3 linked regions of the Caenorhabditis elegans genome follow. The protein of the gene in region 2 purifies or fractionates together with the protein of the main gene of each other region. This does not show direct contact. Each region holds a gene or a part of one and is shown on either strand. Other genes may lie near its edges.

Region 1 (10,071 bases), on a different chromosome or scaffold from region 2:
GACGAACATTTAATTTTTGATTGATTTTTGACAAAAATTGAGATTTTCGCAGTAAAATCTGCAAATTTTTACGGTTTTTTCGCAAAAAACGGTGATTTTAAAGTTTCCGTGAGGCTCATAGACTACAAACTACAAATTTCATGGTTGAGGCTAGCCATTTTTGTAGTTTTTAGTCATGTTTTGCAAATTTATCGTTTTTAAAACGAAAAAAACGAGCGATTTTCAGTTAAAAAGCGTCGATGTTAAGTTTTGGGTGAGGCTACAAACTACAAACTACAACTTGCAATTTTACACGTTGAAAACTAGTTAAATTTAGTTGAGGCTAGCCAATTTTGTAGTGTTTGTAGTCTTTTTTTTTTGTTTTTAAATCACGAAAAACGAGCGATTTTCAGTCGAAATAACTGCATTTATGTTTTGGCTGAGGCTCACAGACTACAAACTACAACTATACATAGCCTCAACCAATGTTGAGGCTAGCAAGGAGTGTAGTTTGTAGTGTGAGCCTCAAATTTGTGACGAAAATTAGTTTTTCATTCACTTTTTGATGAAAAAATGAATAAAAGGATTTTTGAAGTAAAATTGGGAATTTTAAATGATTTTCCGCAAAAAACGGGATTTTTTAAGTTTCGTTGAGGCTCACTGACTACAAACTACAAATTTCATGGTTGAGGCTAGCCAATTTTGTAGCTTGTAGTCATTTTTGCAAAATTTTCATTTTTAAATCACGAGAAACGAGCGATTTTCAGTCGAAATAACTGCATTTATGTTTTGGGTGAGCCTCACAGACTACAAACTACAACCTTCATGGTTGAGGCTAGCCAATTTTGTAGTTTGTAGTCTGAGCCTCAGCGTGTTCAGAGAAAAATTATAAAATTTTTTGGATACTTTTTTAAATTGAATTTACACCAGTTGGGGTTTTAAATAAGACAAAAAAAACAATTTTAATTTGTGGGGAGGCTCAGACTACAAACTACAACTTTCGTGAGCCTCAGTGCCTAATAAAATTGTAGTTTGTAGTCTGTGAACCTCAACCAACCTTCGAAAAAAAATTTTTAAGTAAAAAATGCGCAAAATTTCTGATTTTTTTTAGGTTTTCAAAGCATTTTCATCAATTTTTATGATAAAAATTTACCTGATAAGTCCAATAAACATCGATCAAATAGCTGCACATTTTATCCTTATACAGCATAGTTTCCAGCAATTTCCCGGCCGTCGCTCCCGAATATTCCACGTTTTTCTTCACTTCCACATCAATTTGCGGCAATTTACACAAGAATCGCTCGTTGTTTTTCGACATAATTCGCACATAATCATCGGATAGCTCAGTGTTCCCTGTTTCCAGTGTTGGTGGATCTTTTATTGTCACCGAATCACTTGTAAATGACACATAATAGTGAATAGAATCATCGATTTTCTCAGTTTTGTAAAGAGAAAAGAGAAGAAATAATAGCGGGATAGCTTTTGTCGGCCGAAATAAGCCTGTTGAAACCATTTTTTGAAGGTTTATCACCTGAAAAATCGATTTATTAGCATATTTTTGATAATTTCAGTGAAAAAAATTAAACGGAAAACCCCATTTTAATGCTCATTTTCGGTTAAAACACGTGTAATAGTGTAATAGAAAAATAATGTTCAACGCGAATTGTCGTCAAATAGGGTGTATTTGGTGCAGACACCGTGACGGTAAAATGCACACTTTTAATTTTTGGAACCTTTTTCGGAAATTTCCAATTTATTTCAACCTTTTTTGAACATTTTCGGGATGGAAACTGTATAAATTTTTGATTTTTTTCTCCGAAAATCGATAAATTTCGATAAAAACCCTAAAAATCGCCATTATCCACGATGCTAGCCCACGATTTCGTCAAAAAAGACGACAGAAACTTCACTCCAACGCAATCTTCGAGGTTTGTTGATTAAAAAAAATATTAAAAAGTTTTGAAAATTACAGATCAGCGTCATATTTCGTTGTGCTAGTGCTCACCAAAATTCTACGATGTATTGGAGTCTTTTTCGTGGATATTCTCGCGAAAAGCTCGCATATTGTGAATCTTCTGTGGCTTTGTAAAATAATGTACGGTTTTTAAAAATTTTTTTAAAATATTTTACGCAATTATTAATTTATTTAATGATTTTCAGATGTACATGTATCCTATTCCCCCTGCAAAAGCCTCTTTCAGCCGGAAAATCACTGAAAAGAGGCATAATGCCCATGGTTTTGAAGCTTTCCCTGATGAATAGCGTTATCGAAGTATTCTGGTTTTATGGAATCACACTTTGTGGACCATTACGGAGTGTTCTTGTCTTTGAGCTCAGTTCAACTGTGCTTTTATCGGCGGTTGTCTCATTTTTCAAGGGCGGAAATATGTCAACTCCCTCCAAAACACGTGGATTTTTCCTGTTAATTGTCGGATTTGTGGCGCTTTTCCTTATGGATAGAGACGGAACTATTGAGGATCCACATCGTAAGGATTTGGCGCTTGAAATTCGAAGAAATCACTGAAAATCAGTGTGAAAAATTGGTTGAGGCTATGAAGAGTTGTAGTTTGTAGTCTGTAAGCCTCAACCAAACTTTAAAATACCTATTTTCACCAAAAATAGCTTAAAATTTCCGATTTCCCAGCGAAAATGTTCATTTTTTCATCAAAAATAATGCACAAAAAGCTTTAATAATTTCCGAAAAAAAACATTTAAAAAAATAAAAATTGGTTGAGGCTATAAAAAGTTGTAGTTTGTAGTCTGTGAGCCTCAACCAAACTTTAAAACATCAGTTTTTCACTCAAAAATAGCTTAAAATTTCCGATTTTACTGCAAAAAATATCATTTTTTTTTCATCGGAAATTGAGTAAAAGGTTTTTTTTATTAGTTTCCAAAAAAATTTTTTTCATTAAATCAGTGTGAAAAATTGGTTGAGGCTATAAACAGTTGTAGTTTGTAGTCTGTGAGCCTCACCCAAACTTTAAAATACCCATTTTTCTTCAAAAATCGCGATTTTTAGTTAAAAAACCGAGAAATGAACCAATTTTTCGTTCAAAATCGCTATAAAATTTTTACATTTTAATTTTTTTTTTCAAATTTCCAACTTTCCAGACACCACCCACGCCCACCACAGTGGCCTCAACCACCTCTTCTATCATTTAATTGGACTTTTCGGAATGGCTGATCATAAAGGAGGTCTATGTATTCTGCTAATCTCACTGCTTCTCCGTACCGGCTACGAGACGTCTTTCCGGCATTTAGCTGTAGAAGTTGGCGGTGCAAAGAGGCTTCACACACTTGTTACGGTAATAAAAATTATGGATTTTTCGTGAATTTTAACCCGAAAAAGCATAAAAAATTCCGAAAGAATCACACATTTTCTGCTGGATTTTTTTTTCTGTAATAGTTTCTAAGATATTATTCCTTTAAAAATTCATGAACCGAAAAAAACATTTGCTATAAAGTTATAAATTTACGTAAAATTTTAAGTTTTTTCGCGGAATGTGTCTGGAAAAAATTAGGGAAAATTCGACAGTTTTGGTGAAAAACTGAGAAATTCGATTTTTTTTAAAATTTATAGGAAATTCCCTTTTTTTTTTTGGTTAAAAATTGGAAAAATTCGATTTTTGACGTAATAAATTAGGGAAAATCGTTTTTTTTTGAAGTAAAAAATTGAAAGAATTCAAATTTTTAGGTAAAAATAGGGAAATTCGATTTTCGAAGCAGAAAATTTAAAAAAAAAGGAATTTTCTGGTTAAAAATTGGAAAAATTCGATTTTTTTTAGTGAAAAAACTGAGAAATTCGATTTTTTTTTTAATTTATAGGAAATTCCATTTTTGTGGTTAAAAATTCGAAAAATACGAATTTTTCGATCAAAATTTTAGAAAATTCGATTTTCGAAGTAGAAAATTAGGGAAAATTCGAATTTTTGGGGAAAAAATTCGATTTTTTTTAATTTATAGGAAATTCCCTTTTTTTTTGGTTAAAAATTGGAAAAATTCGATTTTTGACGTAATAAATTAGGGAAAATCGTTTTTTTCCGATCAAAATTTTGGAAAATTTGATTTTTGAAGTAAAAAATTGAAAGAATTCAAATTTTTAAATAAAAAATAATGAAAATTTAAATTTTCAGGCTGGAAGTGCTGTCTGCCTAACGCCTGTAGCCGTACTATCATGGGCTCTTTCCTCAAGCTCCGGAGCTTCGATAGGCTATTTCCACTACGCTGCTCTTCTCGTAATCATTGCTGTATTTGTGTTTGTACTCGATTTCTACGCTGAAAGTATATGCTTCCAACACGTTGCTGATCCAGTTATGGCTGCAGCTCGTTGGTCCTCTGTTACCATGTTCTCGTGTGCATTTGGGCTCGCATACCTTTGGTATGGAAGCCAAAATCTCGGAGATCATGCGTTGACTGGCGGTGTTTCGATCACTGTTGTTTGCTTTATTTTGGGTGCGTTTTTCTCGAAATTCTAATCAAAAAAATGCTGAAAAATCCCTGAAATTGGGATTTTTCGCACCAAAATCCGATTTTTTTGAAAAAAATCGACTTTTCTGGCTGAAAAAATTATTTTTTTACCTTAAAAATCGAATTTTCGCAATTTTTTAACATCAAAAACCGGATTTTCGCTTGAGACCCCCCCCCCCCCCCACTACAAACTACAAATCTTGATAGCCTCAACCAAAGAAAATTGGGTGAGGCTTAGAGAGTCGTGTAGTTTGTAGTCTGTGAGCCTGAACTAAGCTCCATAAACCCGTATTTTGTCGAAAATATCTTGAAAATGTTAGGGTTTCTTGTTAGATTTAAGTTTTCCGTTCGAAATTTAGGAAAAACCCATTTTTTTGCGTTAAATACTGGTTGAGGCTCACACTACAAACTACACTATTGGCTAGCCTCAACCAAAAATTGGTTGAGGCTATGAAAAACTGTAGTTTGTAGTCGTCACAGCCTCACCAAAAACTTTGAATTTTGAATTTTTTTTCACTAAAAGTGTAACTTTTGCTTTATTTTGGGTGCGTTTTTCTCGAAATTCTAATTAAAAAATGCTGAAGAAAATCCCGAAAATCTGGATTTTTCGCATCAAAAATCCTTTTTTTTTTTGTGAAATTCAGCATAATTTTAACGAAAAATCGACTTTAAAATAGAGAGATAATGAAAAATGCAAAATTTGCTTCTAAAAGTTTAAATTTTTGAGATTTTTCCAGAAAATAAATTGAAAAAAAATGTATCTAAATTGTTGTCGGGTTTTTTACCGAAAAAAAATCGAATTTCTCAACTTTCTTAGCTAAAAATTTGAAATTGTCCAATTTTTTGATAGAAAATCGAATTTCCCAAATTTTTTACCTAAAAATTTAAATTTTTCGGAATTTTTCACCGAAAAAAAAATAGAATATTTCAAGTTTTTTATCGAAAAAATTGAATTTTCCAACTTTTTTACTTGAAAATTTGAATTTTTCCAATTTTTTTTTACTTCAAAAATCGATTTTTCCCTCATTTTTTTTAAGCAAAAAATCGAATTTCCCAAATTTTTTACCGAAAATAATCAAGTTTTCCTCCTAATTTATTAATTAAAAATTAGAATTTTCCCAAGTTTTTTACTCAAAAAATTGATTTTTCAAAATGTTTATTTTAAAAATTGAATTTCTCGTATTGTTAACCTGAAAAAAAGAATTTTCCAATTTTTTTAATTGAAAAATTCGAATTTTCCCATATTTTTTTACCAAAAAAAAATCGAATTTCCTTCAAGTTTTTTCCCGAAAAAAATTCGAATGTTCACGAATTTTTAACCAAAAAATCAAATGTCCCAAGTTTTTTACTTCAAAAATCGAATTTTCCAAAGTTTTTTATCGAAAAATTCGTATTTTTTCAATTTTTAACCACAAAAAATGGAATTTCCTATAAATTTTTTAAAAAAATTTAAAAAAATCGAATTTTCCCACATTATTTTTCCAAAAAAAAAATCGACTTTTCCAAAATGTTTCCAGTTTTTTACCTGAAAAATTCAAAATTTTCCAAATTTTTGCAGCCTCAATCTCGCTGACACACTCGAATCAGCCAAAACACCGAGGTGGTCATTTCGTTGGAATCTCGAATACAGGACTACCATTATTCACGTATGGAGAAGCTTTCCTGCAGAGAACCTCCAAATCTTTGATGCTTTTTATGAAGGAAACCCTAAATGAAATCCTTATGAACAACGATTCCCGTCGGATATTCTGGTTTCTTTGTGTGAATCTTGGCTTTTGCGGAGTCGAATTTCTCTATGGATTCTGGACGAACAGTTTAGGATTGATTTCTGACGGGTTTCATATGCTATTCGATTGTAGTGCACTTGTCATGGGACTTGTTGCGTCGGTTATGGCACGGTGGCCACCTACGAGACACTTTACATTTGGTTTTGGACGTGTTGAGGTAGAACAATTGGATTTTTCACCGGAAAATTCAGAAAACTCGAATAAAAACTATCAATTTTAGAGCGAAAAGTGAAAAAAGCAGCAAAAAAAATCGAAAACTCGGCTGCAACGGCAATTTTCAGTGCAGAAAAAAGCCTACTATTTTCTCAAAAATGTGGTGAAAAACTACGATTTTTGTGAAAAGCCACAAAAATAGTCCGAAACGGCCAATTTTTGTGCAGACAATTTTTATTTGGTTTTTTTGCGTATTTTCCGGATTTTTATACATTATAGACTCTTTTTTACGGAAAAATGTTACGATAAATGGGAAAAAAAAAACGTCTTTAAAGGTGGTGTAGTCGAATTTTTTTAAAAAATTGCTTTATCAGACTTAAAATTGTCTGAAAACACCGAATTTCATAATGAAACTTCTTGAAAACTTTTCAGAAAAAAGTTATGACGGCTCAAAAAATAGCCTAAAATTAGTTAAAATCGGAAATTTGACCGACTTGTCAATGTCGCAGCCGCTGGAAACTGTTTTTTTTGAAATCACCATCAAATTTTGAGTATACAATGTAATTATCTTGCGTTTTAAACTTGATTAAGGTATTTAAAAGTCGATGGACGGCGAGTTTTGGTTCAAAAAAAATAAAAATCTTGCCGTCCATCGACTTTTAAATACTTTAATCAAGTTTAAAACGCAAGACAATTACATTGTATACTCAAAATTTGATGGTGATTTCAAAAAAAAATTGTTTCCAGCCGCTTGACAAGTCGGTCAAATTTCCGATTTTAACTAATTTTAGGCCATTTTTTGAGGCGTCATAACTTTTTTCTGAAAAGTTTTCAAGAAGTTTCATTATGAAATTCGGTGTTTTCAAACAATTTTGAGTCTGATAAAGCAATAAAAAAAAAATTCGACTACACCACCTTTAAAGACGTTTTTTTTTTCATTTATCGTAACATTTTTCGGTAAAAAAAGAGTCTATAGTGTATAAAAATCCGGAAAATACGCAAAAAACCAAATAAAAATTGTGTTACAGTTATTAATAATGCCCTAGGGGGGGGGGGGGGGGGGGTTCTGCACAAAAATTGGCCGTTTTGGACTATTTTCGTTAGGAAAACATGCATTTTTGCACGTGTTGACCTCATTTTTGTGAAAATAGTGATTTTTTGTAATTGCTTAATGACCGTTTCGACCAACAATTTTTAAAAAAGAATTTTCGCTTTATATAAGCATTTTTCACTTGAAAAAAACAACATACAACATTTTGCACACAAAAATTGGACGTTTTGGACTATTTTTGTTGCTTTTCACAAAAAAATATGCAAAAATGCACACTTTCACTGCAAAAGTGGTGCAAAAGTCACCTACAAATATTAGTGTAAAATACACAATTTCTATCAAATTTTGATAACTAACTATATAATTTTTTTTTGATGCAGATTCTCTCCGGCTTCATCAATGCCCTATTCCTATGTGTTATCGCGTTGTTCATCCTTATTGAAGCACTCGAACGACTCTTCGATCCACCAAACATCAACACTGATCGTCTTTTATTCGTCGCAATTTCCGGACTTATCGTGAATCTATTCGGAATGTATTCTCTCGGAGAACACGGACATTCTCATGGTGGTGGATCGAGTCATGGTCATTCCCATGGTGGAGGTGGTAGTCATGGACACTCTCATGGTGGAGGAGGAAATGCGAATATGCAGGGTGTATTCCTTCATGTTCTTGCCGATACACTTGGTTCTGTATTTGTGATCATTTCGACGTTACTTATTCAATGGTTCGGATGGGTTTGGGTTGATCCGTTGTGTTCGTTGATCTTATCACTTCTGATCATTGGATCAGTGTATCCATTGTTGGTTTCATCGATTAGTACGTTGTTGCAAGATGTTCCGGAGGAAGAGGAGTTCGAGTATCATATTAATGAGATTTTGGAGGTATATCATTGTTTTTTTTTTTGGAAATTGGTACTGTAGGGGTACTATAGGAGTACTGTAGGGTGTTGTAGGATTACTGTAGGGTTGCTGTAACTATAGGGGGGCTGTAGGAATATTTTGTTGGTACTGTAGGGGTACTGTAGGAGGGTTACTGCGTTGGTTGTGTAGGATTACTGTAGGAGTTTTGTAGTGATATTGTTGGAATACATAATTTGTTATGGTTATGTATGGGCTACTGTACGGATACTGTATTGATACTGTAGGGATATCGTAGGAATACTGTAGGAATACTGTAATAGTATTATAGGGGTATCGTAGGAGTACTGTATTAATACTGACGGAGTACTGTAGGAATACTGTATTGGTACTGCCAGAGACTGTGGGAGTACTGTAAGGATATTATTACTTATGGGGATATTTTAGGAATACTGCATTGGTGCTGTAATAGTATTATAGGGGTATCATAAGAATACTGTACTGTTGAAATTAATTCATCGATCCTTGAATTTCGCAAAAATTTTTGTCGCACAGAAAGTGGGGCGGAGCGTAACTTTCGCAATACTGCCGCACGGTGTTTTTGTACGCCTCTTTTCCAATGATTTTCTTGTTGATTTTTTCGAATAAAGTTTCAATTTTACTTGTCTTTTCGTTTTTTCGATTTGGATAACGTTCTCATTCGAAAAAAAAACAAACGAAGAAAGACAAATAAAATTGAAACTTTATTGAAAAAATCAAAATCATTAGAAAAGAGGCGTACAAAAACACCGTGCGGCAGTATTGCGAAAGTTACGCTCCGCCCCACTGTCTGTGTGACAAAAATGTTCGCAAAATTCAAGGATCGATGAATTAATTTCAACAGTAGAGTATTCTTATGATACCCCTATAATACTATTACAGTACCAATACAATATTCCTAAAATATCCCCATAAGTAACAATATCCTTACAGTACTCCAACAGTCTCTGGCATTACTACTGTAGGGGTACTGTAGAAGTAGTGTATTGGTACTATGAAGGTACTGCATTTGTTATCGTTATGTATGTGGTACTGTAGGGGTACTGTAGTTCTAGAAATATTGTTTTTTTTAGTTTCTGCGAGTTCCTAAAAAACATCGTGGAAATTTCTGCAACTTTTTGAAAAAATTCAAGAATTTTCTGAATTTCCTTCAGAACTGTCCGAAAATTTCTGAAACGTTCTAGAAAGCTGTTGGAAATTTTAAGAAACTTTCTGAGCTTCTGAACAAAAAATTTAAATATCTGAAAAAAAACCCCTTAATTTTTGCACAGATCGAGCACGTAGAATCGTATTCAAATGCACACATGTGGCAGCACAAATCGGATATCAACGTGGCAAGTGTACACGTTCAAGTGAAAGAAGAAGCGAATGCACAAATGATTCGACACCGTGTCTCGAATATCCTGAAGAGCACTGGAGCCACCCACTCAACTGTACAAGTTGAGAAAAAGACATTTGCACACAGGATACAACAAGTGTGTCCTGGATATAAAGCTGGTTATACGGTACGGGATGCTTTGTTGCTTAGAGGACAAAATATCTTTAAAAATGACAATTTTTCAAAAAAAAAGTTGTTTTTTTTCAGGAAATGTTTTATTTGATTAAATTTAATAATATTTCTAAAAACTACAAATTTCTGATTTTTTTGTTGAATTTTTTCATTCGAAAAAAAATAATTTGGAGCATTTTTTGCCATTTTTATATTTTCGATAGTAATAATATATAAAGTATTAAA
Region 2 (9,298 bases):
TGAAGCCATTGTTCAAGAAGCTAATGATAAACTTAAAGTTGGAGATCCACTTCTTGAAGACACTCGTGTTGGAGCTAATATCAACGAAGGGCATCTTCAGAGAATTCTTGGATACGTTGAAAGTGCCAAGCAAGAAGGTGGAGTCGTTTTGAGAGGAGGAGTTCGTGTGCATCCAACTGGTGTCGAGGGTGGAGCATATTTTGAGCCAGCAATAATTACTGGACTTTCCGATGAAGCTAGAGCTGTTAGAGAAGAAATCTTTGGAGCTGTTATGCTCATTTTACCATTTGAAACAGAAGAGGAAGTTATTGCAAGAGCAAATAATACAACTTATGGATTGGCTGCTGGAGTATTCTCAGGGTAAATCAGTCAAATCTATTGAAATTTCGATTCATGAATTGTAACCAGTTTTCATTAAAGTTTTTTTTTCCAGAAATCTTGCTCGTGGACACCGTGTCGCTGCTCGCCTTCAAGCTGGAACTGTTTTCATTAATACTTATAATGACACTGAAGTAAATGTTCCATTTGGAGGATTCAAGAATTCAGGACATGGACGTGAAAATTGTATCGATACTCTTCGTGCTCATACTCAGACAAAGGCAATCTATGTGAATGTTCAAGATACTACTGAGCATTGTTTCTAGATTAATGTTTAAAAATAAAAAATAAATTTGCTATATATTGTTTGATGCAATAAAGCTTCTTCAAGAGCATTGTCAACAATTATTTCAGTTGAATTTTTCAAAATAGTCTCATAAGTTCACAATAATGATAAAATTGGTAAAAATTTATTAAAGGTAGTGTAGTCGAATTTTTTTATTGCTTTATTAGATTCAAAATTGTCTGAAAACACCGAATTTCATAATGAAACTTCTTGAAAACTTTTCAGAAAAAAGTTATGACGGCTCAAAAAATGGCCTAAAATCAGTTAAAATCGGAAATTTGACCGTCTTGTCAATGTCGTATCGGCTGGAAACAAGTTTTTTGAAATCACCGTCAAATTTTGAGTATACCAGTTGATTATCTTGCGTTTTAAACGTGATTGAGGTATTTAAAAATCGATGGACGGCGAGTTTTTGTTCAAAAAAATTGAAAAGCGCCCATCGACTTTTAAATACCTTAATCAAGTTTAAAACGCAAGATAATCAACTGGTATACCCAAAATTTGACGGTGATTTCAAAAAAAATTGTTTCCAGCCGCTGCGACTTTGACAAGTCGGTCAAATTTCCGATTTTAACTGATTTCAGGCCATTTTTTGAGCCGTCATAACTTTTTTCTGAAAAGTTTTCAAGAAGTTTTATTATGAAATTCGGTGTTTTCAGACAATTTTGAATCCAATAAAGCAATGAAAAAAATTCGACTACACCACCTTTAAGAATATTTACGTAATCCCCTCAATTATTTTTATTTCTAGCACGTTGGTTTTTTTTTCGTCTCCCGTTGAAACATTGGTTTTACTCGTTTTTCCAATCATTTCATAATTTAGACTCTCCAAATTTGCGGCTTTTGAGTTTGTTCTTTTCGGTAGACAAGTAAGTTCTTTCAAATTTGATAAATACCCAGAACTATACATTCCACGCTGTCGAGGCGTAACGGGGGCGCTTTAACACTCCTCTTCGCTTTCCCCGCCCCAACATAATTTCATGATTTTTTACAACTTGTTAAAAACTAAATTTCAGATTGAAAAAATGGAGAATAGCAGGCTGATGCAGTCAATGCCGAGAACACCAAAATTTGAAGAAGAAAAAAAGACTGACAAAGATAAGGAAAAAGAAGAAAAGGAGAGAAATGGAAAGAAGACTGAATTGGCAAGAGCTCAGAATAAAAAGGCTCAAGAGAAAGATATGCCACGTTTCAAGCAGGGAGAGAATCAGATTGACACGGCCACTGAGACTTATGAGGTGAATGGGGGAAAAAATCTTGAAGTTGAGCCTGAAACCGCCACACAAAACTTTGGTTAATGACTTAGACTATTGATTAGTCTACTATTGGATATTGAAATGCGCGATGCATACGTCGCCTATAAAATCGGTAGTGATGTATCCTCGGTGCTCACTGAGGCATTATTTGTACTTCGCAAATGAACTGTGAACCTGTTCTATTAATCAATATATATATGTTCTTTTCTAGCTCACCTCTGAACTTGGACAAGGATCATTCGGGGCAGTTTTTGGTGTCACTCGTAAATCTGACAAACGCCATTTCGCAATGAAATGCGAGTCGGTCAACATGAAGCGAGCAATTCTTCCCCATGAAGCCGGTGTCCTGCTTGCCTTGAATCATCTTAAATCGCCTCATTTTCTGGAAATGGTAGATCATGGGATTGTCAACAATCGATTTTTGTTCGTGGTTCTGAAATTAGTCGGAATGAATCTTTGGGACATGCGTGCTCATCTTCCCGATAAGAAGTATACATTGACGACGACTCTCAGAATTGCTGAGCAGACTTTGGCTGGTTTGAGAGATTTGCACAGGGTTAGTTGAAACGCACAAAATGTTTTGAAATAAACATTGAAACTTGACAGGTTGGATTCTTGCATCGAGATATCAAACCTCCGAACTTTGCAATCGGAAGAGAGGAAGATGATACCTACCATACAGTCTTTCTCTTGGATTTCGGACTTTGTAGAAAGATTGCCATGAAGGGAAAGGACTTGAGAACTCCAAGAAAGGAATGTGCATTCCGTGGAACTACAAGATATGCAGCGTTAGCAGCTCATGATAATGTAAGCTCGAATTTTTATTTTTCAAAAACATTTCAAAAATTCAGAAAGAACAATCTCGCAAAGATGATATTGAGTCGTGGTGGTACATGATTGCTGAAATGATTGTATTCGACATTCCATGGAAGCAATTTCGTGGAACTGATCGTGATAATGTCCGTGGAATGAAATGGCGACTTCGCGCGGATGAGACCTACTTCAAGTTTGTGAGTTTTATTTTTTCGAAACCTTTAGTTATTACATATCATTTTACAGTTATTCCGCAAATGTTGCTACGAACAAATGAGTGCCATTCTTCTATACCTCGATCAACTATCGTATTCAAGTATTCCCGATTATGATTTTGTTTATCATCATCTTCAAGCTGCAGCCATTGTGAGTTCATTCTAATTTTAAAAACTTAATTTCTGTGATTACATAATTTCAGGTTAACAATTGTTCTGCTAAATCGCCTCCGGATTGGGATCCCAAAAGTCAACATTACAAAGGGCCGATCTACAAGGAAAGAGAACCATATATTGTCAAGTCACTCGAATGAATTTCAATAAAATTTTCTCACTTTTTCTGTGATCTAGACATTTCATCAATGTGCGACTGACAAGAATGCCCATTGGGAGCATAGCATAATTGACATTGTGAACGCACTATGCATACATCGACTTTTAAGAAGTTCTGGGTTTTCCGAAAGAAGTATTTTTCGGATTTCGTCCGGACGATCCTGTGTTCCGTTTTTTTTTCAGAATCTTGGCATTCAAACTACCGTATCTTTAAAAGGACAACACAAAATTGGATGCTCAAAATTGTATTATAACTTGAAAGTTTTAATTTAAATTATTCCTTGGCAGTTCCAATGACAATTCCTCCACGTCCACGGCCACCTCCGCTGTATCGACCACGGCAACGATGTCCAGAAACGGCGGCAATTGAGAGAACGGCGAAAATGAAGATGTTGTAGAAGTTCATACTGAAATATTTGAATTAATTAGAGTTTAGAAAAGAAATGTTTACCTTTTCAGGAGCAGCTTTCAAAACTGAAAGGAAAGTTGATGATTTTCAAAGGTTTCGGTGTCGGTTTTATACCGGAGTTTTGAATGTATTTTGTGCGTAAAAGATCTTTGGATGCAAATTGCAAGTTGCAAAGATTGCAAAGAAACGAAAAGATCAGAAGTTTATAGTTTCGGAGTTTGATTTCTTTTTTGCGGGGTGATCTTTACCTCACTATGGCTACTATAAAAACTTCTCCGCAAACCTGAAAAGTCACGATTCAGTCAACCGAGTCAACGTAAGCAGTCTCACTTTCAAGTCTTCTAAAAAAAACTGAAAACTTCAGTATGAACTTCTACAACATCTTCATTTTCGCCGTTCTCTCAATTGCCGCCGTTTCTGGACATCGTTGCCGTGGTGGATACAGCGGAGGTGGTCGTGGACGTGGAGGAATTGTCATTGGAACTGCCAAGGAATAAATTCAACAGTTGTTGATTTTTTTTAATGATAAATTTGTGAGCATTTTGATTTTGAACAAACTGCAATGGAAAGCTATCTCAAATTGACTGATACATTCAAGGGACATTTTTTCCAAACTTCTTATCAAATTGAACGATATTCAGGAACTTCGTCAATGTTTTTCTGGCCAAATAGAAGTATGCAGAGAGTTTTGAATTTTATTATATAACTCGGGCTAGATGAACATTAAGGAATTCAAATATTTCAGAATTTCGGAACAGTCCAAGATAAATCAAGTAAAGTGAAAAATGTTTCTCAATATGCAATTTTCAAAACTAGGAAATGAAAAAACTCAGGGATTTCTGTGTCTGAAAAGAATTGAGTTTTTAAAATTATATCAGACAATTTCTGAGAATCGATCAAAATTAGCCGGAAACTGTTTTTGTAATCAAACTCTATTCAATTATTTCAAACAGTATTTCAATTTTAAATTTTTTATTATTAGTGAAACTTTCCAGGAATCAAGAAAAAAAATTTTGAATCCCTGATGTACAATTAATCTAAATATAATTTTTTCATAATTTCTACAAATATCACAGAAGTTCTTACATATCTCGCCCTCATCAGACCCACTCCAATCAAATCGAATAAAATGATCGTAAAACACACTCAAATTGCACACGGCTTCTTCATCTTCCTCACATTCACCGCCACGTGTTTGTGGATGACGAGAATGAAATGGCAAATTGACGGATTACGGTAGAAACGAGTGTGGATGACAACGACGACAAACTGCGGGTGCCAGATGTAGGAGGAGGTGGAGGGAAAGTTTTCGAGCTCTGATTGAAAAACACCGAACATATGGAAATCACCAAGTCCGTGTCGACGAGACCTCTCACCATTCAGAAGTATTCACACTCGTCTTCTTTCTCACAGCCACTTCATTTTTAAATATATTTTTTGCTTCTATAACATCCAAAAATGAATCGAAACTTTTCGATCGATGCTATTTTGGCTAGAAAACCAGTTGAAAAGAGAAAGCAAATAATCACTAAGGATAATTGTAAGTTTATTCGAGTTTTCCTACAATCAAGTAATTTATGGCGTCGTTTTCATAATCTTGGCACAGAGATGATTGTTACTAAAAGTGGAAGGTTAGTGGAAAGTATTAAACTTAACTGCGAGATTTTTATCTTTTTATTAGTCACTCTTTAATACTGCCTTGGTATAAGATTCATGGCTACAAATTCAAAGTTCTAAGATTTGTAATTTTTAAATCCAAAATAGCATCCTCACTTGAAGTTTCTCATCTACATTTTCAGTTTTTACCCAAATAGTCTTTCACCACATTTCTCAACGTTGGCCGTTGATAGATCAGAAGTATTTCCTTTACCAGATAATTAAAAAAAGGAGTAGATTAATATTTTCTGAACTGAAAAATAGAATACAAAAAAGTTTAATATAGAACGTTTTTACGGCTGATTTAGTTCAAAATATTGACCAGAAATGTTCTCTACATGACAGTGTTTAGAAGAATGTTTCCTACCTTATCAGTCATCATCGCTGGTCTTGATCCCGTGAAGAGTTATGTAGTTATGGTAGATTTGGAGTGTATTGAAATGAAACGTTTTCGATATTCATTTCATCAAAGCAAATGGATTTCTACCGGTCCAGGTTGGTTGTTTTTGAGTGAAGTTAGTTGGGAAATATTTGATTTTTAACTAGCCAATTGTTTCATTGAAAAGGAACCCTCGTAAAATGTTTGCAAAAAAGTATAAAATTCGTATAACACAATTTTGGTTTTTTTTCCAAAATTTGTATAGTTGAAACATTTTTGACTGTAATTAAACTACTGAACACCGTATAAGTGGTTTTAAACAGTTTCCCCACTGAATTCGCAATTTTAAAAAATTTGAGAACTTTCATATACCAATTGTTAAAATTCAGGGGAAAGTGAACTCCCGAGCAGAATGTTTGTTCACACGGACTCCCCAGCTCGTGGTGCTCATTGGATGCGGGCTCCTGTTAGTTTTGATAAAATGAAGCTAACAAACAATCAGCTGGATAACAATGGACATGTAAGTCACACACAGTTTGTCTAGCACATTTTGGAAATTGTGTTTTAGATAATTGTGAATTCAATGCACAAATATCGTCCAAGAGTTCACATAATTGAACAAGATGATTCACAAAAGCGGCACACTTTTTCTTTTGAAGAGACTGAATTTATTGCAGTTACAGCTTATCAAAATCATCGGGTGATTTTAAATATTGTGTATTTACAGCTTCTAAATATAACATTTTCAGATAACAAGTCTGAAAATCGAATCAAATCCATTTGCAAAAGGTTTTCGAGAGTGTGAAGTTCAGGGAATTGAAATGAATAGTGTTGGTGGAATGACTGGAGGACCAGCATTCCAGTCAGTTTTTCCACTAATTTTTCCATATTTTGCAAATCTAGCTAGCAATATGAATGTAAATAAGTAAATGAATTATACATATACCAAACTCTTTTAAAATTATAAATTATACTAAAAGCCAATCGCCCTGAGAAACTATTTTAATACCCTAGGGCTTTGATAATAGAAACCATTCCTGTTTTTCGCCTCCTTTCTCAATTTTTGGGTGAGTTTACGAAATTCTAATTTTCTAATTTTGATCAAAGAATAAAATAGGAATTGAGGATTTAGGCCCAAACCATGCAGCGTTTTCCTTGAGGCCAAGCAGGTGTTTTGGTTCCTGCATGGAACGCTTAGAATGCCAATTCAACAAGTTAATATAGAAAAGATTTGAAATGCTCACAATTTTATCATTAACACAAGGTCAACAAATCATTCAAATTATTCCTTGGCGGTTCCAATGACAATTCCACGGCCACCTCCTCCGTAGTTGTTTCCACCACGGCAACGATGTCCAGAAACGGCGGCAATTGAGAGAACGGCGAAAATGAAGATGTTGTAGAAGTTCATACTGAAATTTTCAGATTTTTGAGAAGACTTGAAAGTGAGAATGCTTACCTTGACTCGGTTGACTGAATCGTGACTTTTCCGACAAACCGGGATGTTTTATAGTAGTCTCTATGCGTGAAAGATCACCCCGCAAACAGGGAATCAAACTCCGAAGCTATAAAGTTTCTTTGCACAGTTTTGCAAACTCATTGTTTTACTTTTGTGTTGAATCAAAGTATATATCGAAATCGGAACAGGAGAATCTGAAAAATAGAAACAACGTTGTTTCTAGCTAACTGTAAGATTTAATTTTTAAAAGTGTTCGATTTGTGTTCACATCTGTTTTATTAGGCGCGAGACAGGCGTAGGCTACCTGAAAGGCCAGCGCATAGGCGTCTAAATAGAAATCACATTGGAAAGTTCTGAAGGGAATTTACAGTAATCTAAAAGCGCCAATTAAAATTTGGTCTAAGTACACTTACATATAATGATCAAAAATGGCCTATTACCATTAAAAATCACTTCAATTTGTTTTTTTCTGATATTTGAAAACTCTTAATTAAAGTTTTGGCAAAATGCCAAATTTTCCAAAAATGTGGACTTTTTGAAAAATGTAGAGCAATTTGGCACGTTTGAACCTCAAAAGTGTTTGAGTACAAATATTTGAACAGAATTTAAAATGATTTCTTAAAAAATTGATTAAATTGGTCAACTTCCGAAATTATAAGTAGCGAAAATGATTTTTGATTGAAAACTAAATGAATTTCAATTTTTTTTGAAAAGTTTCACTATACTAATTGGTCATTTTAGAATCAAAATGGTGCCATCTAATAATTTTCCATGAAAAAGAATATGAGAGCTTGGTAACCACGTTGTCCAACCAATTAATAAAACCTCAAACTTTTCTTCAACGACCCTATCAATCCTTTAGTTCTCAATATCCCGGCTGCTCCGTGAGCAATTATTTTCCCATCTAACCAGATGTGTTCCTCCTGTATCGAAAATGATTTATTACCATCAATTGAATCGCACGTTCGGAACATTTTGACATGTGTCAACGGGAAGGGTAAATTATTTGAAGAACTTTGGATTGAAAAAAATTAATGAAAAAAATTTTGAAAATAAATATTGTAAACCACAATTTTCATAACTTTTCACTTTATTTTTGAGCTTTTGCTATTCAAGTTCTATTATACAGTAAATGTTTAAACTTTTTTGTTGTACTAGAGGTCTCGCAACGAAAGACTCAGTTCTGACACGCGCCTTTAAGGAAAGAGTACTGTAGCAATTGATCGCTTATGTTTTTTTTCTGCTAATTCTTGCTAGCAATTGCTGGGTTTTTCATTGACTTCAATGAATTTTTTGTTTACAAACCGCGTTTTTACTTTTTTTTTATTCCCAGAGGTCTTGCAATGTTGAAAATCTCACGTTTACCAAACAAAAGCAAACGCGCTCTGTTGCACACTGCCGCCCGGCGACCCGTTTTCGGGTTTTTTTCAGCTTCTCTTGTGGAATTTTATCATTTTTATTGATTTTTTCTGCAATACAATGGAGGTTCAAAGTCTTACAATAACCACGAATTATCCGCCGAAACCCGCATCTCCAAATCCGCAGGGTAAGCATTTTGGGTTTTTAATTAAAAAACTATCAAAGTGCATTTTTAACAGATATCCGTGACACAATTCGCTCTAACAAAACCAACGAAAACCTTTGGATACAGAGAAAAGATGTTGACACGACTTTGCGAAGTGCGCTGGAACATCTGAAAGCCTGCTGCATTGTATTGAATTTATCGGCTAAATGCGATGAACGTTTGAACGTTGCCGTTAGTCATGGAACGACTGAAAAATATCAGCTAATGTCGAGAACTGGTAGCTCTGATAATCTGAAGGTGAGTATTTGATTTCACAACGAAAAATTTCGGAAATTCGTCGGCAGTCTTTAAAAAAAATAATCGCCCTTAATTATTTTCATAAATTTAAACATTTTCGCCTCATCTATAAAACTGTTTCAGGCAGCAGTCACACTTCTGGACGACAATGTTATTCAAGCTGAAGTGACCGTAAAGTATCCTAAAGCTGGTGGTGGATATTATCGAGCAGTCGCACAACCCGACGTCCAATGGAAACTTCAACAACTTCAGGATCTTGGAAATCACATTTCCAGAGTTACAATCACTCTCT
Region 3 (10,623 bases), on a different chromosome or scaffold from region 2:
TTTCACATCACTGGGCGGCGATGAGTAATACAACTAAATGTGGCAAAGCTTCTTCATTGTTTGAATAATGAAAAACGAATACAAACAACTTTGAAATCAAAACATTAAAACTTACAACATTTCGTTCAATAAAGTATCATCAAAAGAAGAAAACAAAAGCTGAACATGAGAATTTGGGATAAGGAGCAGCAGATCGGAATTATGTGAGAAGCACGCGGAAAACAGGGATATATAAACGGGGTAAACGGGAAAATTTAAGCGTGGCAATCATCTCCTCCAAGTGGCTCTTGCTTGTCAAGTTTGATGAGGTCATCAATACGCAATATCGTAATGGCTGCCTCAGTGGCGAACTTCAGAGACTTGACCTTACTAAGAGCTGGCTCCAAAATTCCAGCCTCCTTGTTATCGCGGATCGTGCCTTCTTCGAGATCCAAACCAGCCCTAAAAAAAGAGTGAATAAACTGACTCAAATTCAGAAAACATGAATTAGACGCTTTTTCTAAGCACAAAACGAAATTTTTTGAAATAAATTATTTTAATTTTATTACATTAAGCTAACATGTAATAACCTACTCTTTAAAAAAAACATTTTCACTTACCACTTGAGGTGTTGAAGTTGTGGGATCAATTGAGCTTTGGAGTGGTACGCGCGGAGTTTTGTCACTAAATCAGTAGAATCTCTTGCAGCATTGCTTGCCAAAACCTTCGGAATGATGAGAAGCGCTGAAGCGAATTCAGCAACAGCAAGCTGCTCGCGAGAAGACAAGGTTTGTGCATAAGTTTCAAGGAAAAGACTGAGAGAAGTCTCAACAGCACCTCCTCCAGCCACAAGTTTCTTGCTTTCCAGAACTCTACGAACAACACAGAGTGAGTCGTGAACCGATCTCTCCATTTCATCGAGCATCACATCGTTCGCTCCACGGAGGATAATGCTGCTGGCAGTACGAGATTTCGGTCCCTTGATGAGAATGAGCTCGTCGTCACTAATTCTTTCTTGAACAATTTCATCGGCATGTCCAAGAAGCGAGGCATCGAAAGCTTCATCTCCTTCCAAAGTAGCCAAGGAAACAGTCAATGTGGCTCCAGTAGCTTTGGCAATTCTCTTCAAGTCTGATTTCTTGCATCGACGAACAGCCATAGCTCCAGATTCGACAAATTGCTTCAAGCACAAATCATCGATACCTCCAGTTGTAAGAACAACGTTGGCTCCGGCTTTCAAAATTTTATCAATGCGGCGTTTGGTAATATCGAATTCTCTGAAAATTCCATAGCTTAAAAAGAAACGAATAGTTTCAACTCACTCTCTGCGAATAGCCTCAAGCTTGGCTGGATCTTCAACAACGACTGAAATACCGAGGTGCATCTTAGCCTTCATCAAAGAGAAATCGAGACATGCGATCTTGGCATTTTGAACACGAAGTGGCATGGCCTGACTGGCAACTGTGCAATTGAGTGCATATCCTTTCACCAAAACTGATTCGCGAGCGCTCTTTCCGTGGGCCTTCAGAACATTGACTGCATTGATAGGATAAGTGACTTTCCCGTTATTTTCCACACGAACAGCTTCCGCGGCATCAACAACCAGCTCTCCGAAGAAATCGGCGTCTCTGAAAAATCAATTTTCTTGAAGCATAGACAACACCAAACTCACGGTCCGATAATCTTACTGCTCATGGAAGTTTTGGCAGCGTTGACAACTGATTGTCTACCAATCGAGTCGGAAGTGAATGAGATGTTTTCACTAATGTACTTGACGGCTTCCTTGCACGCGAGACGGTAACCATTGATAATAGTCGTCGGATGAACTTTTTGTTTCACAAGCTCATCGGCTCTCTTCAAGAGCTCAGCCGCCACAATAACGACAGAAGTAGTTCCATCTCCGACCTCCTCGTCTTGCAGCTGTGCAAGTTCTACAAGCACTTTTCCAGCCGGATGCTCAACCTCGAGTTGTTTCAGAATTGTGGCTCCGTCATTTGTGACAATGACATCTCCAACATCATCGACAAGCATTTTATCAAGTCCGACAGGGCCAAGAGATGACTTCACAATATTGGCGATCGCAACTGCCGCGGTGACTGCAATTAATTAATGTATACTTATATTGAGCTTTCGGTGTTACCATTCTGAGATCTGATGCCTTGTCCAGTAGTTCTTTTACCGGTGAGGGCAAGAATGGAATCTCCAGCTGATGCCATTACCTGAAACACAACCGTATTAACTTAGCAATAGAGTAGGACATTCGATATTGAGTCAAAAAGGGGCTTTGAATAAGCACTCAAAAATAAAAATATACGTAAAAATGAAAATATTTCAGTAAAAATAAAAATGCTTCCAGAAAATCGGGGATCCCTTGAATTCTGAATCAAAATTAAAATTCTTGTAGAATATTCTCAGAGCGCATCGTACTTCATGCATGCTAGAAGGGTAATCGTGCCGAGACCCAACACCAGCTGTCACTAGGGCGTATTTGCAACATTGTTCCCACCCGCGATTTATTGCCGATAAATTAAAAATAAAATTGTTTCCGCTAGTCCTTTGCAAACAAATTTGTTTTTTTTGTTTCCTCTTGTAATTTTTATAAATATTTTATTGGTCTATAATTTAAAATATTGAATTCAGATTTCTAACATTTATGGAGCCGCCATGCACATCAGACTGCAGCCAGATAAAAGTAAGAATTTTGATCAGAATTGTTTTTTATTAAGCCAGTGATTAAACAGAAATAATTTTCTTCCAGGTCTTCTACTATCTCGACGATGAAACGACTCCCTATGTTTCTGTTATTGAAGCCAGAGAAGGAGTAGCGACGCTTGGAAATTTCAAAAATTCATTCACCAAGCGTGGATATAAGTATTATGCGAAGGAACTTGACCCGGATATTCAACGGTGAGTTTTGGCTTTTTTAATTTTTGTAATTATTCTGTACTGAAAAATGTTCAGAGAAGTTAAAGTCGAATTAACAACTGATTCGGATCGGCTGCGCAAATCCCAGAATGGATTTTATGAGATTTTTCTCGTTAGCACTCCAGGATATGGAACTCTTCCTCGAAACAGTGGAACAATGACGCGACCACAGAGAACTGCTCTAGATAAGGTTCGATTTCTGTTATTTTCAAAAAAAACTGATATTTTAAGCGCCGCCGACGAAGTGCAGACTTTGACGCGACTCCGTACTCTGATGCTAGTCTTGCTCCGAGCACCATTGTTAGCAGTGAGTTTTTGCTATTTATGTACTCTTAAAAACCTGTATGAACGTTTTTCAGGAAGAGCAGGAGAGCATCTGGCAGAATTATACACTTCAAATTCAGAGGATCCGTATCAATATGACGAGCATACACGTCGAACAGGAGATGATTCTTCGCTCTACGAACCTCTCGCTGCTCGTGATATGAATAAGATATACGATGACGATAGAAGAAGGAAAAAACAAAAGAAAGAAAGATTCAGAAGACCGTATGTTCCAAGTACTATTAGCTCAGCGACGGAATCAAGTGTTAACAGCGGCCTCCCTCGAATTCTGGAAATTTATCTACCAATGAAAAATGTTCCATATCTGGGACTGAGCGTGTGCACAATTGATGGTCATATATTCGTTTCCGAAATTGCACCAGAAGGTGCCGTTGAAAAAGATGGACGTGTGAACGTTGGTGATCAGATTCTTCAAGTTAATAGAGTATCCTTTGAAGAACTCAGTGGGCCTCAAGCAGTTCGTTCGCTCAGAGAAGCTGCATCCTCCAAAAGGTATTTTTCTACGCATTAGCATTAATTTTTTTTAATTTTTAGACCAATTACTCTTTATATCAGTAAGTTTGCAAGAGGTGCCCCAAGTGAATATGATGATCCACTCGCGTCCATGGCGTCTGAAACGATGCCCCTCGACGTTGGAGTTTGGGTAGAAACCGCTGTGTAAGGGTACCTCGCAAGATTTATTTTCTTAATTTGATACTTACAGGCAGAACACTGAAAAAATGAAAGCTCTGGGTTTGGATCCACAGGAGCAAACGGCAACTACAATTGATGACGGAACTCTTCCATTTACATCGACAGCTTCTGATGATGAGGAGCGAATGCTTTACGATCAACGTAGAAATGGAATTCCAAGAGCTTTGATTGAAGAAGCAGAAAGAAAACGAGAAAATGAGCAAAATGAAAAAATAGAGCAACTCACAGAAATGATTGATCCCATTATTGTTGTTCGTTCTATGGCTCGTCCGGATTCAGGATTAGCTGTCAAAAATCGAAAATGGCTGAAAATTTTGGTTCCAATGTCTTTTATTGGTGAGTACTGAACATTCAAGTATTAGGATCCAAACAATCAACGTTTAGGCCGAGATCTAGTCGATTGGCTCGTTGATCACATGGCTGATATTCATAATCGGAAGAAAGCTAGAATCTATGCTGCGAGATTGTTAGCTGCTGGTCTTATCAGACATGTCGTCAGCAAGTTGACATTCACAGAAAAGTGCTACTATGTATTCGGTGATGGAATTCTTGGCAATGATCGTAATTCCACGGACACCACTGGTACGAGTGGAACTACAATGCGAGTTGAAGCAACTACTGAAGTGACGTATGTTGGCTCACCAGCACCACATGCTCTGGCAGCACGAGTTGGAAGAAATATTCCTCATCGATTAGAAACCACTACTCTAAGCCCAGTTGCTCATGACCAAACATGGCTTCGAAGACGTCGAGATTGTGAGAGTCCTATGACAAATGATTACGCATCGATGGTCGGAGAAAGCCAAATTGGAATGAATCCAGTCGGAAATTATCATGTTTTTGGGACGAAAAATAATCACCGTCAGGTACCGGCACCTTCTCAAGTGACATCCTCAAGCTTGACAAACGGTGAGAAAATTAATCGTTTCTATAGGGTGCAGGAGTTAAATTTGAAGCAAATATTCATTTCAATTGATATAGTATTTGCTGTTTCTTGACTACTGTACCCTTTGTATCCAAATGACTTTTCACATAACAGTATTTCCCCAACCAAATTAGTTACAAATTCCAGGAAGTGGTGGCTTAGGAGGCCCTCCGCCGACTCCTCTATCCAGTACTATGGTTCTAGCAGCTTCTCCGATTCAGTCGCAGAACGCAGTCAACCACGATTTCGACGGGGAGAACAGTAGCAACAGCAGAACGCGTATTTTACGGACTTAAAATTTAAAACTCATTGCCTTTACCGATTCTCGCCTTAATTCCCACATGCTTTATTAATATTTAAAACTATGCCCTGTTTTCATGTATTTCAGTAAGACTAACGTTTTCATTCATTCATGTAATTTTGAGTCTATTTATGAATTATTTTAAATTTCTTCATGACGATGTTCACTTCGAAAAACGATGTGTGATGAAGAAGACTTGGACAGCACCGAAGATAGTTTTAGACATCCATTCCGAGTAGTATGCAGTATCCTTCGTAGTATCCCAGGAGCACATGTTGGCCGTGCAAATTGCAAGATTATCGGTTTTTGCAGAAATAGTACAATGAACCAAAAACTTTTTGCTTCCATTGAGCTTCACTAAATTATCCGAAATTGTTTGGATCATCTTGCTCATCCAATCAGACATTTTGAATGGAGAATATGGAGTTTTACCAATTATTGAATCAAATGATTTTTGAATAATTAAATCAATTTCTTGTTCTTCGGCATTTGAATAGACTTTCTTTTTGAGTTTCTTATTTTTCTTTTCAATCAATTGTCTCAAAAGCTGAGCGTTTTTTGATTCAATTTGCCGCTTTGCTACAGAAGAAGTTGTAGAAGTGTCTAAAATTTCAAATGATGTTGCATAATGTGACAAAGAAAACTAACCTGTCATTTTGAAACAAGGAATGAATGAAATAATTAAAGTTATGCGATAAACATTTGTTTTCTAAATTTGATATATATATTAGAATCTGGTATAAATTTTTTTAACAGTGCGTGTAATTAGAACACGCTCTGAAGGCGAAGTGTTTAGTGCCAATTCAAAATATTACTTACAATTAGACCCGAAAATTTTGCGCTTTTTGTGCCAAAAACACGGTACCTGGTCTCGACACGAAACATTGTTTTTAAATGCAAAAAGGTGTGGGCACAGCATCTCCGACCGGGAGCGAAAAAATTAATTTTATTATAAAATGTGTTGTTAAGTTTTTGTTTTGTTTCCGCGGCTCTGTACCAGATTTTACACTAAAAGTGCACCAGTTTGGAGCACCGGACACACAGAAATTGTGTAATGTTGATGGCGTTCCGTATCCGAAATTGACATGTTTGCAGGGGTCGGTTGAGCTAACAAAGGTGGGTGGTGGAAGACGGAAATACGGTTCGAAGGAATAGTGGGGGGAAAGCTGACTGATTAGCTTGCCATCAGTGATTTACGGAAAATGTTCTGCTTCCTACTATGATTTCCTCATAATTTGAAATTTCATTAACTCTTAAATGTTTACTTAAATGTGATGCGAATTACTCAGAAAATGCACAGTTTTGGAAATGTAGCAAGTGACCAAAACATTTACTGAAAAAAACCTTCACCTTTGAAGTTCCTCTAATATCCAAAAAGTCATCATCAGTCCAATAGACAAAAAGTATTTCCGGTCCGTCATGGCAAGTTTGCCTTTCTCATCACAAACACTTTCTCTCATCCTTTAATTGTTTGTAGATGAGCCGGTCATTAACACTTATCCCTCTTATATCTATCATTCAATAAATCTTTTTGTAATATGCGCACCTCAATAATGTCTACAGACTCTTGATCAAGGTTTGTGGAACGTTTCTTTCTGTTTCCATTCAAACTATTTAATTAGATTTCCTGTAAATTCTGGAATGGAAAAATTTAACTTCATATTCAATTATAACAATGAAAATTAATTTAAAATGGCTTTGTGCAACTTCTTGAAAACAAATTGGAAAACATAGTTATTTTATAGTGAATGCTTTATGTATGCACCTTTATTATATTTCTTTTATTAGTCTTGTATCCTGTTTGCTCTACTTTGACAGCTCTCATGCCGGTTATCTTTGATTTTGTCAAAAGATATTTAACAGCAAAAAGGTATCACATATTTTTCTATATTTTCATAGTCAATTTTTGATATATCGAAAGACAATCGAGATATGAGCTTTCAAAGTAGAGCAGTGAGTTATAGGAAAAATACGGATCTTTTCATAAACTGATCGGATCTGAATTTCCCATACGGAAGCGTCTCTAATCTTGACTCTATTTGACACACAATCATTCAACAGATTTCTTTATTTAATTTTCAGAAATTTCAGATAATATGTCCTAATGGCCTCATATATTCTAAACGCACTTACACTTCGTCACGACCATGACGCAGCTGAACGAACATTGCACCATTTTTGGGATACGGTACGTGAAGGAAAAGTTCCGGTCTCTTTTCGTGAATGAAAAGATTATTTCCACATGATTGGAAGGGTCATTCCCGTTACATTCGTTTTTGAACGGAAAATGAAATTCAAAAAAAAACAGCTGAAGATGACCTAGTCTCGCAAATTTCACCTTTGCATGATAGGATCTAACGAGTGTTGGGCATTTTATTATTGTTATTAATATTATAGACTTACTTTTATTATAAAGTTTTTATAGTAATGAATGACTTTATATTCGATTTAGGTGATGTAAGTTTTTAATGATTAAATTAAAAATTTAGAGTTTATCTAAATTCAGTTTACATACTTCAGAAAGATCTTCTGGATTCCGGGTTAATTGAAGAACATATTGCAAGTCAACCCCTTTTGGCTGCAAGTTTATTTTCTTTAATTTCTTGCTCATTTGGTCTTGTTATCTTTACAATCGTATTCCTCACATGTAGGTTTCGAGGGCGATGTGGATCACAAAAATATCAAGTAAGGTTTCGAGGATCCCTTCTTTTAATATTAATATTTCTAGGAATATCCTTCAAATTCCAACACTTATGCAATATATCTTATGTTATTTTTCATTTCCTGGCTCATCGTCACATCAGCTTCTGCTTATTTTGTTCTCGCTGGAATTGGATTTTGGAGTGAAAAATTGGATGCAAAGAAACCATTTGCTAATGCGTCTCTTGTGGTTTTTTAGACATTTACTCATTTCAAAGTGAAACGTTTATATCCTAATTTTCAGAGATTTTCGAGAAGCACTATCAGTGATCTATTTGCTAATTATGATTATCATGGAGATTTTGAAAACGTTTCTGAGCTGCCCAAAAGTGGGCTGAAGAGAATTCATATTGTGAGTTAGATCCAAATAAAATATTTTTAAATAACAAAACTTCCAACTAAAAAACTATGTTATCAAAAATAACTTTCTTGAAATCTACAAAATCTTTATTCAAAATGTTCATTTTTATTTCTTTCAGAGTAGAAAACCACTTCAAACTTTTCGAAAAAGAATTGAAATTCCCATTCGACCACTGGCCGAAGTTACATTTTCTGGAACATCTGATAAGTTTATTACAAAGAATCGACCAATTATTGATTCAAATTTGAATAAAGTATCAGATGAAAAAGAAGAAGTCGATGACATTATTGTAAGAGATGTTTCTTAAAATGTATGACTTTTCCAGTTTTAATTTCAGAATTTGAGTGGGGACCAAGAGGAAGTTTCAATTCAAAATATGCATCAGCCTACGAAAAAAATTTTAGTGAATCATAAGGATCAACTTTCTGAAATTCCAAGAATTCCTCAAGTTTTTCAAACATCAGATAATTCTGAAAACCTAGATGGTATAGAAGATTCAACAGAAGAACCAGAAAATTCTACAGACAATGAAGAAGCTGAGAATCAATCGAATATTCTTGTGGTGAATGGAGAAACAATGACGATTGAGGAAGAATCTGATTTGATTGATGACGTGGAAAGCGAGGAAACGACATCCACAACTACACCAAGAACAACTACTACTACTACTACTACTACCACAATCACAACCACAACGTCAGCTCCTACAACGATTGCAACTTCTACGCCTATATCCACAACATCAAAAGCCACTACATCCTCAACTCAGTTGTTCCAAGAAGTAACCTGGAAACAAATTGAGGAAACTGATTCCGTGAGTTTTCAATTTTAAAAATGTTATCAAGCATGGCATATCCTCTCAATTGGATCCTTCATAAGTTATCTGTTCTCGTTTCTCATAAGCACGAGATTAAAATAAATTTTCATATAAGCAAATTTACTTGGCTAATTTTTTTAAAACTAATCATTAGCAGTATTTGAAATTTCCAGAACAATGTTCTAGACCAACTTCTCACTCACGCTGAAAACAATGCTGAAATTCCATCTGACAACAGTCTGTCTTACAATCCAAATTTGACGTACTTCAGTCTTCATTCAAGATTGCTCGTTTTCATCTGCAGATTGGCGTTCTGTTTTGTTGCTTTGGCTCTTCTTTTTGTGATATTACCCACATTTTTTCTTGTTGTCGCTGGCACTGGATGTTACATTTATAGTGATCATCCTATGAATCGAAGTAGCGTTTCGAATAAGGTTGACTATAGGTTATTTATGATTGAAAACTAAATTGAAATTTCAGATTGGCAAAGTAGTCTCCGTAAATGCTGCAATCTTGTTATTAATGTCACCATGTATGCTGGTATTTTCATGTTTTACTCTATTCTACACTCACTGTCACGAACTGTTATGTGCTACAATTCAACTTCAAAATCAACAAGCAAGAGGATTAGTCGATACAAATCATCAGAGTCTTATTGAAAATTATTCAATCAATACAAATCAATGTTCTCGATCATTGGCTCCTGTTCAATCTCTGCTCCTTTCATCACTTCTATTATGTATTTCATTGCTTCCATGTGTTTTTGCAATGTTCAAACTTGTGAAGTACTATTTTCGAATGAGTAGTGAATTTTATTGGAATGCTGCTGATAATTTCGCTGGGAGACAATTTTCAAAACAACAGGTAAATTGTCCGTAGAGATGCAAGACTAATAGAGTAGAGTAACTACGGTAACTAACATTTCAATATTTTCAGGAATTCCCCCGTTATCAAAGTACAGTAATCTATCCAGATGATGAAGTTACAACTGGCTATGCAGTTTATGGACAGATTTAAATTTTTTTTTCGTTTTAAATGGAGACTACGGGTTCCCAAATGTATTTTTAATTAAATGGTTTATCGAGTTGTAATAAATTTTTACTGAATTATATAAAGCTAGAAATGTTTCTAAATGAAGTTTCTCGGCAGATCACATCCTGAAATATCACTGCTCGGAAGCTCTGAAATCAGTCCTATTTGTATACAGGTTGATGTTCATAAAATATTTGAAAGTTTTTTTCAGGAAAAGAAAACACATCGTAAGTATCTATTTGTCAAGTGAGTGCTTTCTCTCTTTTCTTTGTGTGGTCCCATGGGGGATCAGTCACTAATCCTCCATTTCAATCGTCCATGTGTTCACCCTTTTCCTCTTTACTTTTCAAATAGGAGGTCATCATCAATGTCTTTTGTTTTCTTTATTTTATTAACTTTTTATATTCAAGTGAAAGGAAGTGTAGACGAATATCGACTTTTACAATATTTGAAAGAGGTATGGAACATTGTATTGCTCGTGCAAAAATTATAAGGTTTTAAATGTATAAGTTTGGAGACTTTGCTTTAATTTTTTCAAATAACTG

What was found.
Region 1: the proteins of mls-1 (region 2) and slc-30A5 fractionate together in Caenorhabditis elegans (co-fractionation; one large-scale study listed by BioGRID). This does not show direct contact.
Region 3: the proteins of mls-1 (region 2) and T05C12.4 fractionate together in Caenorhabditis elegans (co-fractionation; one large-scale study listed by BioGRID). This does not show direct contact.

The regions. Positions count from the first base shown.
Region 1 is NC_003279.8:14,356,817-14,366,887, forward strand, and holds the start of slc-30A5 (Proton-coupled zinc antiporter SLC30A5), read left to right. Parts: upstream 1-1,745; 5' UTR 1,746-1,845; coding exon 1,846-1,907; intron 1,908-1,951; coding exon 1,952-2,074; intron 2,075-2,139; coding exon 2,140-2,465; intron 2,466-3,090; coding exon 3,091-3,284; intron 3,285-4,112; coding exon 4,113-4,431; intron 4,432-6,004; coding exon 6,005-6,390; intron 6,391-7,817; coding exon 7,818-8,321; intron 8,322-9,607; coding exon 9,608-9,841; intron 9,842-10,071. Other genes in the region: Y105E8A.2 (Endoplasmic reticulum lectin 1), read right to left, coding at 1,133-1,492.
Region 2 is NC_003281.10:7,455,260-7,464,557, forward strand, and holds mls-1 (T-box transcription factor mls-1), read left to right. Parts: upstream 1-5,081; 5' UTR 5,082-5,148; coding exon 5,149-5,321; intron 5,322-5,698; coding exon 5,699-5,841; intron 5,842-6,114; coding exon 6,115-6,245; intron 6,246-6,293; coding exon 6,294-6,425; intron 6,426-6,474; coding exon 6,475-6,654; 3' UTR 6,655-6,675; downstream 6,676-9,298. Other genes in the region: alh-12 (Aldehyde dehydrogenase domain-containing protein), read left to right, coding at 1-360, 434-644; Y69F12A.1 (Protein kinase domain-containing protein), read left to right, coding at 1,690-1,902, 2,132-2,476, 2,527-2,727, 2,772-2,930, 2,980-3,099, 3,152-3,262; fipr-19 (FIP (Fungus-Induced Protein) Related), read right to left, coding at 3,556-3,687; fipr-18 (FIP (Fungus-Induced Protein) Related), read left to right, coding at 4,056-4,187; fipr-20 (FIP (Fungus-Induced Protein) Related), read right to left, coding at 7,008-7,136; H14A12.3 (Protein rogdi homolog), read left to right, coding at 8,664-8,730, 8,783-9,006, 9,130-9,298. UniProt on the Caenorhabditis elegans protein: Probable transcription factor required for the cell fate specification of non-striated uterine muscle precursor cells. Furthermore, may function with the transcriptional corepressor unc-37.
Region 3 is NC_003280.10:8,177,018-8,187,640, reverse strand, and holds T05C12.4 (uncharacterized protein), read left to right. Parts: upstream 1-7,259; 5' UTR 7,260-7,272; coding exon 7,273-7,356; intron 7,357-7,688; coding exon 7,689-7,853; intron 7,854-7,896; coding exon 7,897-8,058; intron 8,059-8,112; coding exon 8,113-8,220; intron 8,221-8,347; coding exon 8,348-8,518; intron 8,519-8,566; coding exon 8,567-9,043; intron 9,044-9,219; coding exon 9,220-9,480; intron 9,481-9,526; coding exon 9,527-9,910; intron 9,911-9,982; coding exon 9,983-10,063; 3' UTR 10,064-10,123; downstream 10,124-10,623. Other genes in the region: T05C12.8 (ANK_REP_REGION domain-containing protein), read left to right, coding at 1-28; cct-1 (T-complex protein 1 subunit alpha), read right to left, coding at 255-441, 600-1,256, 1,302-1,607, 1,652-2,075, 2,120-2,195; Segment polarity protein dishevelled homolog mig-5, read left to right, coding at 2,633-2,671, 2,738-2,886, 2,941-3,094, 3,136-3,211, 3,264-3,741, 3,784-3,906, 3,953-4,278, 4,327-4,851 and 1 more; dylt-3 (DYnein Light chain (Tctex type)), read right to left, coding at 5,332-5,771, 5,817-5,823; acr-14 (AcetylCholine Receptor), read left to right, coding at 10,446-10,535.